2 linked regions of the Anolis sagrei genome follow. The protein of the gene in region 2 interacts with the protein of the main gene of each other region in a pairwise test. Links are inferred from orthologs where the notes say so. Each region holds a gene or a part of one and is shown on either strand. Other genes may lie near its edges.

What was found.
Region 1: the proteins of GPS2 (region 2) and SESTD1 interact in binary tests that used the Homo sapiens proteins (3 or more experiments, as listed by UniProt). The two-hybrid records come from large-scale screens. The link is inferred for Anolis sagrei from reciprocal best matches to the Homo sapiens genes GPS2 and SESTD1.

Annotation. Positions count from the first base shown.
Region 1 is NC_090021.1:189,122,138-189,130,000, reverse strand, and holds the start of SESTD1 (SEC14 domain and spectrin repeat-containing protein 1), read right to left. Parts: upstream 3,242-7,863; 5' UTR 2,942-3,241; intron 1-2,941. UniProt on the Homo sapiens protein: May act as the primary docking protein directing membrane turnover and assembly of the transient receptor potential channels TRPC4 and TRPC5.
Region 2 is NC_090026.1:4,565,763-4,573,476, reverse strand, and holds the start of GPS2 (G protein pathway suppressor 2), read right to left. Parts: upstream 3,100-7,714; 5' UTR 3,004-3,099; coding exon 2,910-3,003; intron 1,070-2,909; coding exon 960-1,069; intron 1-959. UniProt on the Homo sapiens protein: Key regulator of inflammation, lipid metabolism and mitochondrion homeostasis that acts by inhibiting the activity of the ubiquitin-conjugating enzyme UBE2N/Ubc13, thereby inhibiting 'Lys-63'-linked ubiquitination.

The sequences.
Region 1 (7,863 bases), on a different chromosome or scaffold from region 2:
CATTGTTGATGTATGATGTTTAGACTGTATTGTTAGCATTGAATCTTTGCTGTTAGCTGGTCTGAGTCCCTCTACAGAGGTAGAAAAGATTGGGATACAAAAGTTTCAAATACGAGAGTGGGTCAAAAAGTAATGCCTCCATCGCTCTAACGTTTATTTCTTACAGAGTTACTGGACTATCTATGCATGATATGATAGAGGTAGTAACCTTATTCTCCTGATAATACTCTTTTCTTTTTCGGATTAACTGATTAGAACCATTAATCTGAAGCTGAAAGAAAGAGTTGTCATTGAATATCTGGCAAAAGAAAGTTGTGCACCTAAGAAAATCCAGCATCGCTTGAAGAATGTTGATGATTTGCCCCCTTCTTTTACCTGTTTGGATCTCTGAAAGACAACCCACGTGGTTTCAGATTCAATGACTTGAACAATGTTAAAAAACAGATATAAAATCATGGGTCATGAAGCAAAATCCTGAATTTTTCCAAAATGGTTTTGATGCCTTGGTTAAACGGTGGTACAAATGTGTACAAATTGATGGTGGCACCTATGTTGAACAGTAGTGTTGTGTAGAGGACAGTTCAGGCTATGATCTGTAGCGACTTCTGCTGTTATAGGTTCATTCATAACGTTTTTATGATACAGGAAGCAAAACTTTTTGACCCACCCTCTCACATATATATATATAGACACACACACACACACATAGAGAGAGAGAGAGCGTGCGCACTGGAGTTACACTTTAAAATGTACCTGTTCTGACTTACATACAAATTCAACTTAAGAACAAACCTACAGAACCTATCTTGTTTGTAATTAGATATTGGGGCCTAGCTCCACAGGCAGAAAGGAACAGCAACATATGTTTTCTTTGTTTCAAATATCCACAATCAATACTCATGTGTATGCATTGCAAATGCAGTGATGGTGAAGGAAAGGAGGAGACAAGAATGACATCCAATACGCCATTAGAATGAGGCCTTTGACATTTGTTCTGTTCCTGCTTACAGCCTCCTTTCTTTCCTCTTACCATGAATCGGTTTCAAAGAAGGCAAAATAGAAACTCTAGGTCACTGTAAAATTAAAACTTGGCCAGGCTGCTTAATGGATAAACAGGACAGCTATCCTTGGGAAAGCATATAATCCTGGTTTCACCTTAACAAGCATTACAGGGCATAGAAGAGGAAAAGGAAATCTATGCTGACTGGCTTCCCTAGAGATGATCTGAAATAATATCTGCAGAGCCACCATTTTTATTCTGCTTCAGGAAATGACTGTAAGGATCAATTGGATTGCCTTGTCAGAATAGAGGCAGGACAATAGTAATTAACAAGGGTGACACAAATTTCACCTGATTTGGAAGTAATTCCAAATTAAAAGGGGAATAAAGGAGAGGGCTGTGTGGAAGGGTCCTATATGAGTCTACACTGAGAGATAACTTGGGATAAACAGAAAACTTGGGATCAGATCCTGCGATACAGGGCCTATCAGGAAGGGCCCTTCCACACACTCTATATCCCAGAATATCAAGGCAGAAAATCCCACAATGTCTGCTTAGAACTAGGTTATCTAAGTCCACACTTGGATTTTGTGGGATTTTCTGCCTTGATATTCTGGGATATAGGGCTGTGTAGAAGGGCCCTGGGTTATATGGCTGTGTGGAAAGGTGTAGCCTTGACTACACCTTAAGTCACAAGAATAGTAGCCCCAGGTTATATTTTTACAAGCAGTAACAAGCCTGAAGGAAGGATTCATTCAAAAAAAGCATCTCTAGTCATGGATAGGATCTTCTCTGCCGGGAAAAACAACTTTTTCTTTTTTCCCCAATTTTCCTTGAAATTGTCAAGGAATGACTGAGGGTCCTTTCAACCCAGAATATTAAGGCAGAAAATCCCACAATATCTGCTTTGAACTGGGATATCTGAGTCCACACTGCCATATATCCCAGTACAAAGGAAATATGGTGGGATTTTCTTCAGCTGTGCGGAAAGGGCCTAACCCTTTTTGGCTTTGAGATGTAGGGCCCTTCCACACAGCCATAGAACCCAGAATATCAAGGCAGAAAATTCCACAATATCAGGTTTTAACTGTGTTATCTTAGGCCCCTTCCACACACCTAAATAAAACCCTACATTATCTGTTTTGAACTGGGATATATGACAGGGTGGATTCAGATAACGCAGTTCAAAGCAGATCTTGTGGGTTTTTCTGCCTTGATATTCTGGGTTCTATGGCTGTGTGGAAGGGCCGTGTGTCCACACTGCCATATAGTCCAGTTCAAAGCAGAACATGTGGGGTTTTATTCAGCTGTGTGGAAGGGGCCTTAGAGCCTTAGCAGCAATAAGCAATTTTTAATAAAAAGTCAAGATGAGGAAAAAAAAATCCTTTGCAAAAAAAAAAAGTGGGGGAGAAAGATTGGGGCCTTTAACTCAAATCACCCCTTTTACAGTGAAAGCTGGGAAGTGACAGCACAAAGGGAAGGAAAAGAGGAGGGACAAGGAGGAGGGAAACCTGGAGCAGAAGGAAGCAGCAGCATCAAAGAAGCAAGGGGGCGTTTACTCGTCCCTGTTTAATACAATACCATCATGCATTTATAAATAAACACCCCCCAAAAGAACAGAAAAAACCACAAGTTGCCAGCAACCTGTTGCTGCGGTTTGTACCAAGAGAGGGGTGGCAGAAGGAGCAGGAGAATGAGTCAAGGGCAAGCATGTCCTTCTCATAAAAATGGCTGAGAAAGGTGGGCTTCCTGCAGTCCTCCTCCTCCTCCTCCTCCCCACTCTCCCCGGGGTGCAGCAATCCCTCTGCAAGGAGGAGGAGGAGGGGGAAACAAAAGCCCTCCCTGCCTGCCTGCCTCCCTCCCTCCCAGGCCTCGAGGCTGGGCCTTCTTCTGCGGCTTCTCCTTCATCCTGAGAGAGAGAGAGAAGGGGGAGAGACTCACCTGGAGGCCCCAAGGCCGGCGACAGGGAAGGAGGGCGAGCTGGGTCCGGCCCAGAGCCTTGTGGCAGCAATGGAGCAACGGGGAAGGAAGGCGGGACACAGAGGAAGGAGGGAAGGAAAGAAAGAAAGAAAGAGGGAGGGAGGCGCCGCCGCCTCGTTCCTCTCCTTCCTGCCTTTTTCTCTCCCTCCTTCTTCTTCTTTTCGCCCCTCGCGGCCTCTGGACAAAAGCGCCGCTGCTTCTGCTGCGCCTGCCTCGCCAAGTCCCCGCTGGTCCGGTCTGGGCGAAAGGGGCGGGGCTTCCCGTGGCCCGGACCGCCCAATCACGGGCTCAGCATGGGCCAAGGGAGGCAAGCCGGCGGGCGCGCGCCTCACTCCCAAGGGCGCGCGCTGCCACTTTGGAGCTGCTCGCGCGCCCTTCCCTCCTTCTCGCCTCCTTTGGGGAGCCGCATCTGCTGGCCCCAAGCACCACCCTGAAAGACAACAAGGGCCCTTCCACACAGCCCTCTATCCCAGAATATCAAGGCAGAAAATCTCACCATATCTGAGTGTGGATTCAGATAACTCTGGGCCCTTCCACACAGCCCTCTATCTCAGAATATCAAGGCAGAAAATCCCATAATATCTGAGTGTGGACTCAGGCAACCCAGTTCAAAGCAGATAATGTGGGATTTTTTGCCTTGATATTCTGGGATCTAGGGCTGTGTGGAAGGGCACTGAGTTATCTGAATCCACACTCAGATATTGTGAGATTTTCTGATATGCTGGGACAGGGGTCCTCAAACTATTTGAACAAAGGGCCAGGTCACAGTGCCTCAAACTGTTGGAGGGCCAGGTTATAATTTGGAAAAAATGAAAGAATTCCTATGCATATATCTTACTTGTAGTAAAAAAAAAAACCCACTTTAAAACAATACAATAATTACAATGAAGAATTTTTTTTAACAAATATAAACTTGTTAGCATTTCAATGGGAACTATGGGCCTGATTTTGGCTGATGAGATAGGATTGTTGTTGCTGTTGTGTGCTTTCAAATCATTTCAGACCCTGAGCGATTGCCGGGTAAATGACCTTAGAGGGCCGAATCTGGCCCGCGGGCCTTAGTTTGAGGACCCCTGTTCTGGGATAGAGGGTAGAAGGGCCCTGAGTTACCTAAATCCACATTCAGATATTGTGGGATTTTCAGCCTTGATATTCTAGGATATAGGGCTGTGTGGAAGGGCTCCCCCCCCCCTTTTTTTTCTCTCTCCAGTGTCAGGAGCGACTTGAGAAACTGCGAGTTGCTTCTGGTGTGAGAAAATTGGCCGCCTGCAAGGACATTGCCCAGGGGACGCCCAGATGTTTTGATATTTTACCATCCTTGTGGGAGGTTTCTCTCATGTCCCTATATGGGAAGCTGGAGCTGACAGAGAGAGCTCATCCGCACTCGCCCCTGATTCGAACCTGCGACCTGTCAGTCTTCAGCCCGGTTTTGGTCATGTTAGGTAATAGTATGATTGCTGGGTCCGGAAGCTCCAAGCGTTATGCTGTTACCGCTTTGCTCCTTTGGGAGTGCTGTTTGCGCAACACAAAACGGAATGCACTGAGGTACTGTAAGACAGGCCAGTCACATTATTATTAACAGATATTATTGAAGTAATGTAAGAGTTCTGTAATAGTAAAATCTAAACCCATACCCTAACCCTATCCCTAAACCTTACCCTAACCCCTAATCCTCAACCTAAACCTTATCCTAACCCTCCCTTCCTGTCTATCTTTCCACCAAATGCAACTACAAATTACGTTCCTGCCCTCAGTGTGCTGCTCTTATTTCCTTATTCACAACTGCCATTTCAGAATGTGCATAATGCTCGGAGCTTCCGGTCCCAGCTATCATACTATCACCTTCAGCCCTGCCGGCACAAGGGTTTAACCCATTGTGCCACCGGGTGCGCCACAAGGGCTCCCTGTGTGGAAGAAGGGCCCTTCCACACAGCGTTATATCCCAGAATATCAAGGCAGAAAATCCCACAATATCTTCTTTGAACTGGGGCCCTTTCACATAGCCATGTAAACCAGAATATCAAGGGAGCCCCCAGTGGCATGGTGGGTTAAACCGCTGGGCTGCTGAATTTGCCTACCGAAAGGTCGCAGGTTCAAATCCGGAGAGCAGCGTGAGCTCCCGCTGTTAGCCCCAGCTTCTGCCAACCTAGCAGCTTGAAAACATGAAAATGTGAGTAGATCAATAGTAGATCAATAGGTTACTAGAAGGTAACGGTGCTCCATGCAGTCATGCCAGACACATGGCCTTGGAGGTGTATACGGATAACGCCTGCTCTTCAGCTGAGAAATGGAGATGAGCACCTACCCCAGAGTTAGACACGACTGGACTTAATGTCAGGAGAAAACCTTTACCTTTACCTATCAACGCAGAAAACCATACAATATCTGCTCTGAACTGGGTTATCTGAGTCTACACTGCCATACATTCCAGTTCAAAGCAGAAAATGTGGGATTTTATTCAGCTCTGTGGAAGGAGCCTCACCCTTTTTGGCTTTGAGATGTAGGGCCCTGAGTTCTCTGAATCCACACTGAGATAATATGGGGTTTTCTGCCTTGATATTCAGGGATATAGGGCTGTGTGGAAGTCCCCAAGGCAGCCAGCCATCCAAGGCACCCACCTTGTTCTTCTACACTGGAGAATGGATGCAGCTCGACATCCCTAAAACTGCTAGGGAATCCTGGGGGTTGTAGTTTGGGCGAGGCACACAAGCTCTCTGGCAGAGAAGGTGAAACGGCACCTCCCAGGATGCCAGAGCATGGAGCCCAGGTTGTCTCAAGCTGCATCCATTCTACAGCAGGCGTGCCCAACCTTCAGCCACAGGCAACACTGTGGATGCAACCCTACAGAAAATTGTAAACATGCAGGAGTTCTCAAACTTGCAAGAAACGTTTATCATGGAGCTCCAAGAAATGTTTATATATATATATATATATATATATATATATATATATATAGCCCCCAGTGGTGCAGCAGCTTAAACCGCTGAGCTGCTGAACTTAAGAACAAACCTACAGAACCTGTCGTGTTCGTAACTTAGGGACTGCCTGTAGTTGTGAATGCCGGAGAGTAAAGAAAGCTGATAGGAAGGAAAGCAATCAATTGGCCACAGGGCAATAGAGAAGAGTTCTACAGATGTTGTGGACTACTAAGAAGAAAAATGGCCCCTAAAGCAAATCTCCCCAAAATGACTATATTAAGACCATCATAGTTTGGCCATATCATGAGAAGACATGACTCACTAGAAAAAACAATACTCTCCCTTATCCAAAAATTCTCTGGCTTAGAAATGTTTCATATTTTGGAATATCTGTATGTATATGATGTGATACCTTGTCTAATCATGAAATTATTTTTCTTAAGTATCATATGACATCATAAAGTCCTGGTGAAGCATCCCATATTAAGAGGGAAGCATCTGGTGATGCTTTCCCTCCAGTTGGAGGAGGGGCTTCCACAGGAAGCTCCCTTGTGCCTCTGATGGGCAACGAGCCCATCAGTCCTCCAGACAGGGTGGACTAGGACGCTAAAATCACTCCCTCTGATGAGGTGGTTATATACATAAAATTTTTATATACAATATTCATAATAACTTTATGCATGAAGCACAGTTTGTGTATGTTGAACCATCAACATACCAGTGGACCATTTTAGATTTTGGAGTATTTTGGATTTTGAAATTCCAGACAAAGGATGCTCAACCTGTAATGCTTGGTAAGGTAAGGCAGTAGGAAAGGGGGAATACCATATTCAAAATGGAAAGACTAGGATTCCACTGGTGTCCTGAGTCTGCAAGACTTAAGCAGGACTGTTGAGGATGGGGTTGCCATAAGTTAAGCTGACAGCAGCTAACAACAGCTAAGATGTCCCCATAGGTTGTCCCTGTCATTTTTGTTTCTTTCGACCTTCAAACAAATAGAGAAGGACAGTAACAGCTGCAGTGGAAATACACCAGATACTTCAGCATTTCTGTATCAAAAATGCCAAGAGCAAAATGTCCTCTAAAGCTGCAGTCCTATGCACACTTGCCTCCGTCTACTCGATAACTATTCTTTGGTGCGATGTGTCAGTCTCAGCTGAAAAGACAACTTTCCCTTTCCATTGAGACCCAGATCCACACACATTCTTGCTCCCAAGAAGTTGAAGTGGTTATGAAAGTTCTTTGTTAGTCATCCCTAACTACCCCTCAAGACCATGGTGCTTGTTTATAAAGCCATTGTCCTCCCAACCCTGTTATTTAGCTGCGAAATGTGGACCATTTACAGACGTCACGCTCAACTCCTGGAACGATTCCATAAGCATTGCCTCTGAAAAATCCGTCAAATTTCTTAGGAAGACAAGCAGAAAATGTCAGCATGCTGAAAGAAGCAAATACCACCGGCACTGAAGCAATGATACTTTGCCATCAACTCCGTTGGACTGGTCATATTATCCGAATGACCGCCCACCATCTCCCAAAGCAGTTACTCTACTCCCAACTGAAGAATGGAAAATGGAAAGTTGGTGGACAGGAAAAGAGATTTAAAGATGGGCTTAAAGCCTTAAAAACTGTGGCATAGACACCAAGAATTGGGAAGCCCTGGCCCTTGAGCATTCTAACTGAAGGTCAGCTGTTACCAATAGTACTGTCGAATTCGAAGAGGCACGAATGGAGAGTGAAAGGATGAAACGCATCAAGAGGAAGGCATGTCAAGCCAACCCTGACCAGGACTGCCTTCCCCCTCAAAACTGATGTTCTCAATGTGGAAGAATATGTGGGCCAAGAATAGGTCTCCACACTCACCTACGGACCCACAGCCAAGACCCTGTTTGGAAGGCTATCCTACTTGGACACGATGATGATGATGAACTACCCTCCAAAGTTGTTGGACAACACCCATCAGAA
Region 2 (7,714 bases):
TGGGAATTTTGGTTAAGTTTCGTTGAGTTTTTTTTGGGTTTTGTTGTTTTGCCGTTTTGTGAGTGTGTTGTTGTGTTGTTTTTCATTTTGAGTAGATATGTTTGTACCTTGTGGGTTGTGTTATGGGCATGGGAATTTTGGTTAAGTTTTGTTGGGGGTTTTTAGAGTTTTGCTGTCCCGTTGAACCAACCTAACAGATTTATATATATAGATTTGTGTGTTTTTAACTGTGCTGTGACCTCCCCAAGCTGTGGGGAGTGGCGGGCAAGAATTATTATTATTAGAAACACAACAAGATGAGTCCACAGCAGACAAGATCACTCTGCTGGCTGTTGTATTGGATCACATCGGACACTTCCCAAGTGTCTAGGACTCTGTCCTGTATCGGCCAATAATTCATGCAGATCCCAGTAAGGTGGCCTTTTGCTGCTGGCAGGTCGTAATTTTGTCGGCGCTGATTGTGTTTAAGTGCAGGCCAAGGTCCTTAGGCACTGCACCCAGTGTGCCCATCACCACTGGGACCACATTTACTGGTTTGTGCCAGAGTCTTTGTAGTTCTACTACTACTACTACTACTACTACTACTACTATTACTATTATTATTATTATTATTATTATTATTATTATTATGTCTGTTTTAACTCCGGGTTGTTGTAGGTTTTTCGGGCTATATGGCTATGTTCTAGAGGCATTTTCTCCTGACGTTTTGCCTGCATCTATGGCAAGCATCCTCAGAGGTAGTGAGGTCTGTTGGAAATAGGAAAACTCCACTGAAAGGATTTACTCAAAAGGGAGAAGAGGATTGTTAGTGAGGCTTGCTGCAACTTGTGCTGCTGCTATACACAATTTTAAAAGGGACATGAGCCTGCACATTCTTTAGCATCTTTGGGGAATCCTGGAATGAACGCCCTGTGGATTCCGAAGGCACACGGCATTGGAATCTGGTCCCAACCACCGACCTGCTCCTTGGTCTCCTCCAGAGACATGCGCTCCTCCATCTCTTTCTTCTTCCGCCTCTCCTGCTCCTCTTTCATCTTCTGCTCCATCATTTTGTCTACTTCTTCTTCCTCTGCAGGACAGAAAGAGAGGTCCACAGATAATTGATTTCCTGGAACAATACAGGGACAATGTCGAGTGCAAAACTTTAATTTGGTGCTAGTCGGAAGGGTCAACCTCAACTCAGAGGAAGGTGGTTGCTGTGTGCCTCAAGGTGATTCTGAGGGTCTTATTTGCAAGATTTATCCTGAAGGGTTTTCCTGTTGCCTTCCTTTAAGGCTTAGAGAGGCACTTTCCCAAGGCCACTCAGGGGCTTTTTATGGCCGAGCGAGGGTTCATTTGATCCCTGGTCTTCCAGAGTTCTAGTCCAGTACTTAAACTCTTACATCAGTGGTTCCCAACCTTTTTTTTTTTACTGAGGGTTGGACTGGATGGCCTTTGGGTGTCCCTTATAACACCATAATTCTATCTATCTATCTACCTACCTATCTATCTACCTATCTATCTGTGGGTTGGATTGGATGGCCTTTAAGTGTCCCTTCCAATGCCTTTCTACCTATTTATGTATCTATCTGAAAGTTGGGCAAGATGTCCCTTGGATATCCCTTCTAACGCCATTAAGCAATGAATCGATGTATCTATCATCTATTGGGGTTGGGTGGCCTCTGAGTGTCCCTTGTAAGTGTATGATTCATTCATTCATTCATTCATTCACTCTTTCTTTCATTCTTTCTTTCTTTCTATGCATCTATCTATCTATGCATCTATCTGAGGATTGAACTGGATAGCCTTTGGGTGTCCCTTCTAACACCATAATTCTATCTATCTATCTATCTATCTATCTGTGGGTTAGACTGGATGGCCTTTAAGTCTCCCTTCCAATGCCATGAATTTATTTTTCTATCTATCTATCTGAGAGTTGGACTGAATGTCTTTTGGGTGTCCCTTCTAACACCATGATTCTATCTATCCATCTGTCTATCTATGGATTGAACTGGATGGCTTTTCGGGTCCCTTCTAACTTCATGAATCTATCTATCTATCTATCTGAACGTTGGACTCCAATGTCCCTTGGATATCCCTTCTAACGCCATGAAGCGATGAATCAATGTATCTATCATCTATCTATTGGGGTTGGGTGGCCTCTGGGTGTCCCTTCTAAGTGCATCTATCTCTCTATCTATTTATCTGTCTGTGGGTTGGACTGGATGGCCTTTGGGTGTCCCTTCCAATATCATGGATTTATTTTTCTAGCTCTCTATCTATCTGAGAGTAGGACTGGATGTCTTTTGGGTGTCCCGTCTAACACCATGATTCAATCTATCTATCTATCTATCTATCTATCTATCTATCTATCTATCTATCTATCTATGGATTGAACTGGATGGCTTTTCGGGTCCCTTCTAACTTCATGAATCTATCTATCTATCTATCTATCTATCTATCTATCTGGGGGTTGGACTGGATGTCCCTTGGATATCCCTTCTAACGCCATGAAGAGATGAATCAATGTATCTATCATCTATCTATTGGGGTTGGGTGGCCTCTGGGTGTCCCTTCTAAGTGCATCTCTATCTATCTATCTATCTATCTATCTATCTATCTATCTATCTGTGGGTTGGACTAGATGGCCTTTGGGTGTCCCTTCTAACTCCATAATTCTATCTATCTATCTATCTATCTATCTATCTATCTATCTATCTATCTATCTATCTATCTATCTATCTATCTATCTATTTCTCTCTCTATCTATCTGTGGGTTGGACTGGATGGCCTTTAAGTGTCCCTTCCAATGCCATGAATCTATCTATCTATCTATCTATCTGAGGGTTGGCCTGGATGTCCCTGGGATGTCCCCTCTAGCGCCATGAAGGAGTGTATCTAGCCTAGCTGCCCCTCTCCCCGGGTCTCACCCTGCCGCTTCCTCTCCCGCTCCACCATCACGTGCCGGTGCAAGGCCCGCGCCATGGCCGAGCTCAGCTTCGGCCGCTCCAGCAGCGCCGGCATGGCGAAGGCCGGGGAAGAGAAGACCCGAAGGCCCAACGAGGAAAAAAAGAAAGAAAAGCGCTCTCCTCCTTCTCCTCAGACCCGCCCGCTTCCGCTATTACTACGGCTACTTCCGGTTCCGGCCCGCGGTGCCACGCTGACAGCCGCCCCTCCCGCAACACGGAGCAAAGGACTTCCGTTCCATTTCGTCCCCTGCCAACTCAGACACAGCAGCTGCATCCGGGGACTTGAAGTCTTAGAAGAGTGGGTTTCTGGGAGAAGCTGCTATTGTTGTGGCTCAAACGAGCTCATATTGTCATTCCAATATGTTTATTCATATGTTTATACACACACACACACACACACATATACACACACACAAATCATAGAATCACAGAATCAAAGAGTTGGAAGAGACCTCCTGGGCCATCCAGTCCAACCCCATTCTGCCAAGCAGGAATATTGCATTCAAATCACCCCTGACAGATGGCCATCCAGCCCCAGGAATATTGCATTCAAATCACCCCTGACAGATGGCCATCCAGCCCCAGGAATATTGCATTCAAATCACCCCTGACAGATGGCCATCCAGCCCCAGGAATATTGCATTCAAATCACCCCTGACAAATGGCCATCCAACCCCAGGAATATTGCATTCAAATCACCCCTGACAGATGGCCATCCAGCCCCAGGAATATTGCATTCAAATCACCCCTGACAGATGGCCATCCAACCCCAGGAATATTGCATTCAAATCACCCCTGACAGATGGCCATCCAGCCCCAGGAATATTGCATTCAAATCACCCCTGACAGATGGCCGTCCAGCCCCAGGAATATTGCATTCAAATCACCCCTGACAGATGGCCATCCAACCCCAGGAATATTGCATTCAAATCACCCCTGACAGATGGCCACCCAACCCCAGGAATATTGCATTCAAATCACCCCTGACAGATGGCCATCCAGCCCCAGGAATATTGCATTCAAATCACCCCTGACAGATGGCCATCCAGCCCCAGGAATATTGCATTCAAATCACCCCTGACAGATGGCCATCCAGCCCCTGTTTAAAAGCTTCCAAAGAAGGAGCCTCCACCACACTCCAGGGCAGAGAGTTCCACTGCTGAACAGCTCTCACAGACAGGAAGTTCTTCCTCATGTTCAGATGGAATCTCCTCTCCTCTAAATAATATATAACTAATAACATATGGAATATATTATATATATGCGTTTGAATATATAAATAATAATATATGGAAAATATATATTATATAAATATATACACATATGAATAAATAGTATATAAATAATAATATATGGAATATTATATATATATGCATATTAATAAATAATATATAAATAATATATGGAATGATATGTAGTATATTATATATGAATAACAATATAGTATGAATAATATGTAACAATATAATATTAATATATATACCAAAAAAGGGAAATGCGAAAGACTGCGCCAACTTCCGTACAGTAGCTCTTGTTTCTCATGCCAGGAAGGGAATGCTCAAGATCCTGCAAGGAAGACTCCAGCAATACATGGAGCGAGAGTTGCCAGATGTTCAAGCTGGGTTTAGAAAAGGAAGAGGAACGAGAGACCAGATTGCCAATATCCGCTGGAGAATGGAGAAAGGCAGGGAGTTTCAGAAAAACATCTATTTCTGCTTCATTGACTACTCTAAAGCCTTTGACTGTGTGGATCATAATAAATGGTGGCAAGTTCTTGGTGGGATGGGCATCCCAAGCCCCCTTGTCTCTCTCCTGAGGAATCTGGACAAGGACCAAGTAGCCACAGTCAGAACTGACCACGGAACAGGAGACGGGTTCCAGATTGGGAAAGGCGTACGGCAAGGTTGCATCCTCTCACCCAACCTTTTTAACTTGTATGCAGAACACATCATGCGAGGATGTGCGGGGCTTGAGGAATGCAAAGCTGGGGTGAAAATGGCTGGAAGAAACATTAACAACCTCAGATATGCAGATGACACCACTCTGATGGCCGAAAGCGAGGAGGAGCTGAGGAGCCTTCTAATCAAGGTGGAAGAAGAAAGCGCAAAAGCCGGGTTGCAGCTCAACATCAAAAAAATGCGAGTTGCTTACGTGTAACTGCGTTTCCACGTGTGATAGTCTGTGAAATTCGCACATAATGGGTTTTGTTCTGCGCATGCGCAGCCGTTCGGAACCTTCTAGAATTTTCAAATAGAAACTTTTAATTGGCGGACGCCCCGCCCAAACTCCCCATACTATAAATGCCCAAGGCGGGAAACCTCGACTCAGTTCCGCAGCCGCTATCAGCAGCTATAGAACAAGCATGACTACTGCGGAGAGGTCGGGCGGGGATGTGCGAATTTCACAGACTATCACTCGGGAAACGCAGTTACAGGTAAGCAACTCGCATTTCCCCTTCGTGTAGTCTGTGAAAAACGCACATAATGGGTGAATAGCAAGCTACCAACCTTCGGAGGTGGGAGTCATGCGACACTGGAAAACAGCACCGCTCTGCCGAAGGCTGCATCCTTCCTTGCCATCGCATCTAGCCTGTAGTGGGAGGCGAATGTTGACGAATTGGACCATGTCGCTGCTTTGCAGATGTCGTCAATTGGAATACCCCTCAGGAAAGCTTGCGAGGTTGACACCGCCCTAGTGGAGTGGGCGTGGATCTGCTGAGGGGGCTCTTTCTTTGCCAGCAGGTAAGCAAGTCTGATGGTCGAGACGATCCACGAAGCGAGGCGCTGGGAGGAGACAGGTAGCCCTAGAGAGTCCTGGCGGTATTTCAGAAAAAGCTTGACTGACTTCCTGTGGGGGGCGGTTCTGCTAGTGTAGAACGCTAGAGCCCGTCTGACATCTAGAGAATGCAGGGAAACCTCCAGAGGAGAAGAAGGATTCTGGAAGAAGGCCAATAGAGAAATGTCCTGTGACAGGTGAAACTTAGAAACAACCTTTGGTAAGAAGGCGACGTCTGGTCGGAGGACCACCTTCTCTTTGTGGAATCGTAGGTAGGGTGCGTCAACTCTCAAAGCACAGATTTCACTCACTCTCCTGGCCGATATAATGGCCACGAGAAAGGCCGTCTTCCATGAGAGATGCGACAGGTCGCATGTGGCCAGTGGCTCAAAGGGTGGTTTGGAGAGCTGTGACAGCACCAGTTCTAGACTCCACGCTGGGGGAGGAGGCATGACAGGTGGGTGTAAGTTGGAGTACCCCTTAAGGAAGAGCCGTATCGTGGGGTCATGGAAGCACGATGGTCTCCCTGTCTGTCTCCAGTACCATGATAGTGACGCCAGGTAGCATTTGATGGAAGACAAGGAGAGCCCTTTGTTGGACAGATGCACTAGAAAGTCCAGTATGACCCCCATCGGGGCTTCCCGGGGGTTAACATTCAGAGGCTTGAGGTATTCCCGGAAGCGTGACCATTTGTATGCATATGCTTTCTTGGTCGTGGCTTTTTGGGCCGCTGCGATTATGTCCTGCACTGCCTCCGAGAGAGGGGCTGGACCCGGATTCTCCACGCTGTGAGGCGCAGGGAGACCAGGTCTGGGTGATACACCCGGCCCTCCTGGATGGAGAGGAGGTCCGGTCTGTCTCGTAGATGGAGGTATTCGCCTCTCGAAGCTTTGAGGAGGGGAGCGAACCAGTGCTGGCGCGGCCACCAGGGGGCGACCAGTATCGCATCCGCGTTGTCCTCGATCAATTTGGTCAGCACCCTGGGAATCAGCGGGATTGGGGGGAAGGCGTATAGTAGGCCCGGTGACCAGCTGAATATGAATGCGTCCCCCATGCACCCTTGGGTCGATCCGGGGTGACGTCTGGCACAAAACGTGTCGCACTGTGCGTTCACTGGCGACGCAAACAGATCCAGGGTTGGTTGGCCCCAATGGCGGGACAGGAACCGGAACTCGTCTCGATGGAGTTGCCACTCGTGATTTGATGTCTGTGCTCGACTGAGGGCATCGGCGAGAGTATTGTCTTCGCCCGGGAGGTGCACTGCCGTGAGATGTATCCTTCGTGGGATGCACCATTCCCATATTGCTGTGGATAAGCCGAGGAGGTCGGAGGAGCGCATCCCGCCTTGCTTGTTTATGTAACATTTTACAGTTGTATTGTCCGTGAGAAGTTGTACAGCGCGCCCGGTGATATGGGGCTCGAAAGCACGCAGGGCCTTCTGGACGGCTAGGAGCTCGAGGTAATTTATGTGGTAGGCAGCCTCCTCGTGAGACCATCTGTCGTGCACTGTCAGATTCTGGAAGTGAGCCCCCCATCCTTGCGTGGACGCATCCGTTGTGAGGCAGCGGGATGGGCGCGGTTGTCTGAAAGCCATGCCTGCAAGGACGTGCTCCTCCGTTGTCCACCACCTGAGGGACTCCAGGACCTGGTGTGGGGGGTACAGACGGATGTTCTGGCTGTCGCGTTGGGGCTTGAACGCTCTGACGAACCAATGCTGCAGCGGGCACATCCGTAGCCTCGCGAACCTGATGACCGACGTTGTCGAGGCCATGTGCCCGAGCAGGGATTGGAAGGCCCATGCAGTGGCTCCCCCTTGTGCGCGGATGTCGTTTATCGCCAATTTGATGGCCTGGAAGCAGTCCTCTGGTAGGAAGGCCTTTTCTGCGATGGAGTCTATGATAGCACCGATGAATTGGATGCATCTTGAAGGAGTCAAGTTGGATTTTTCGAAATTGACGATGAGGCCGAGGCTCTGTAAGAGAGACAGAGTG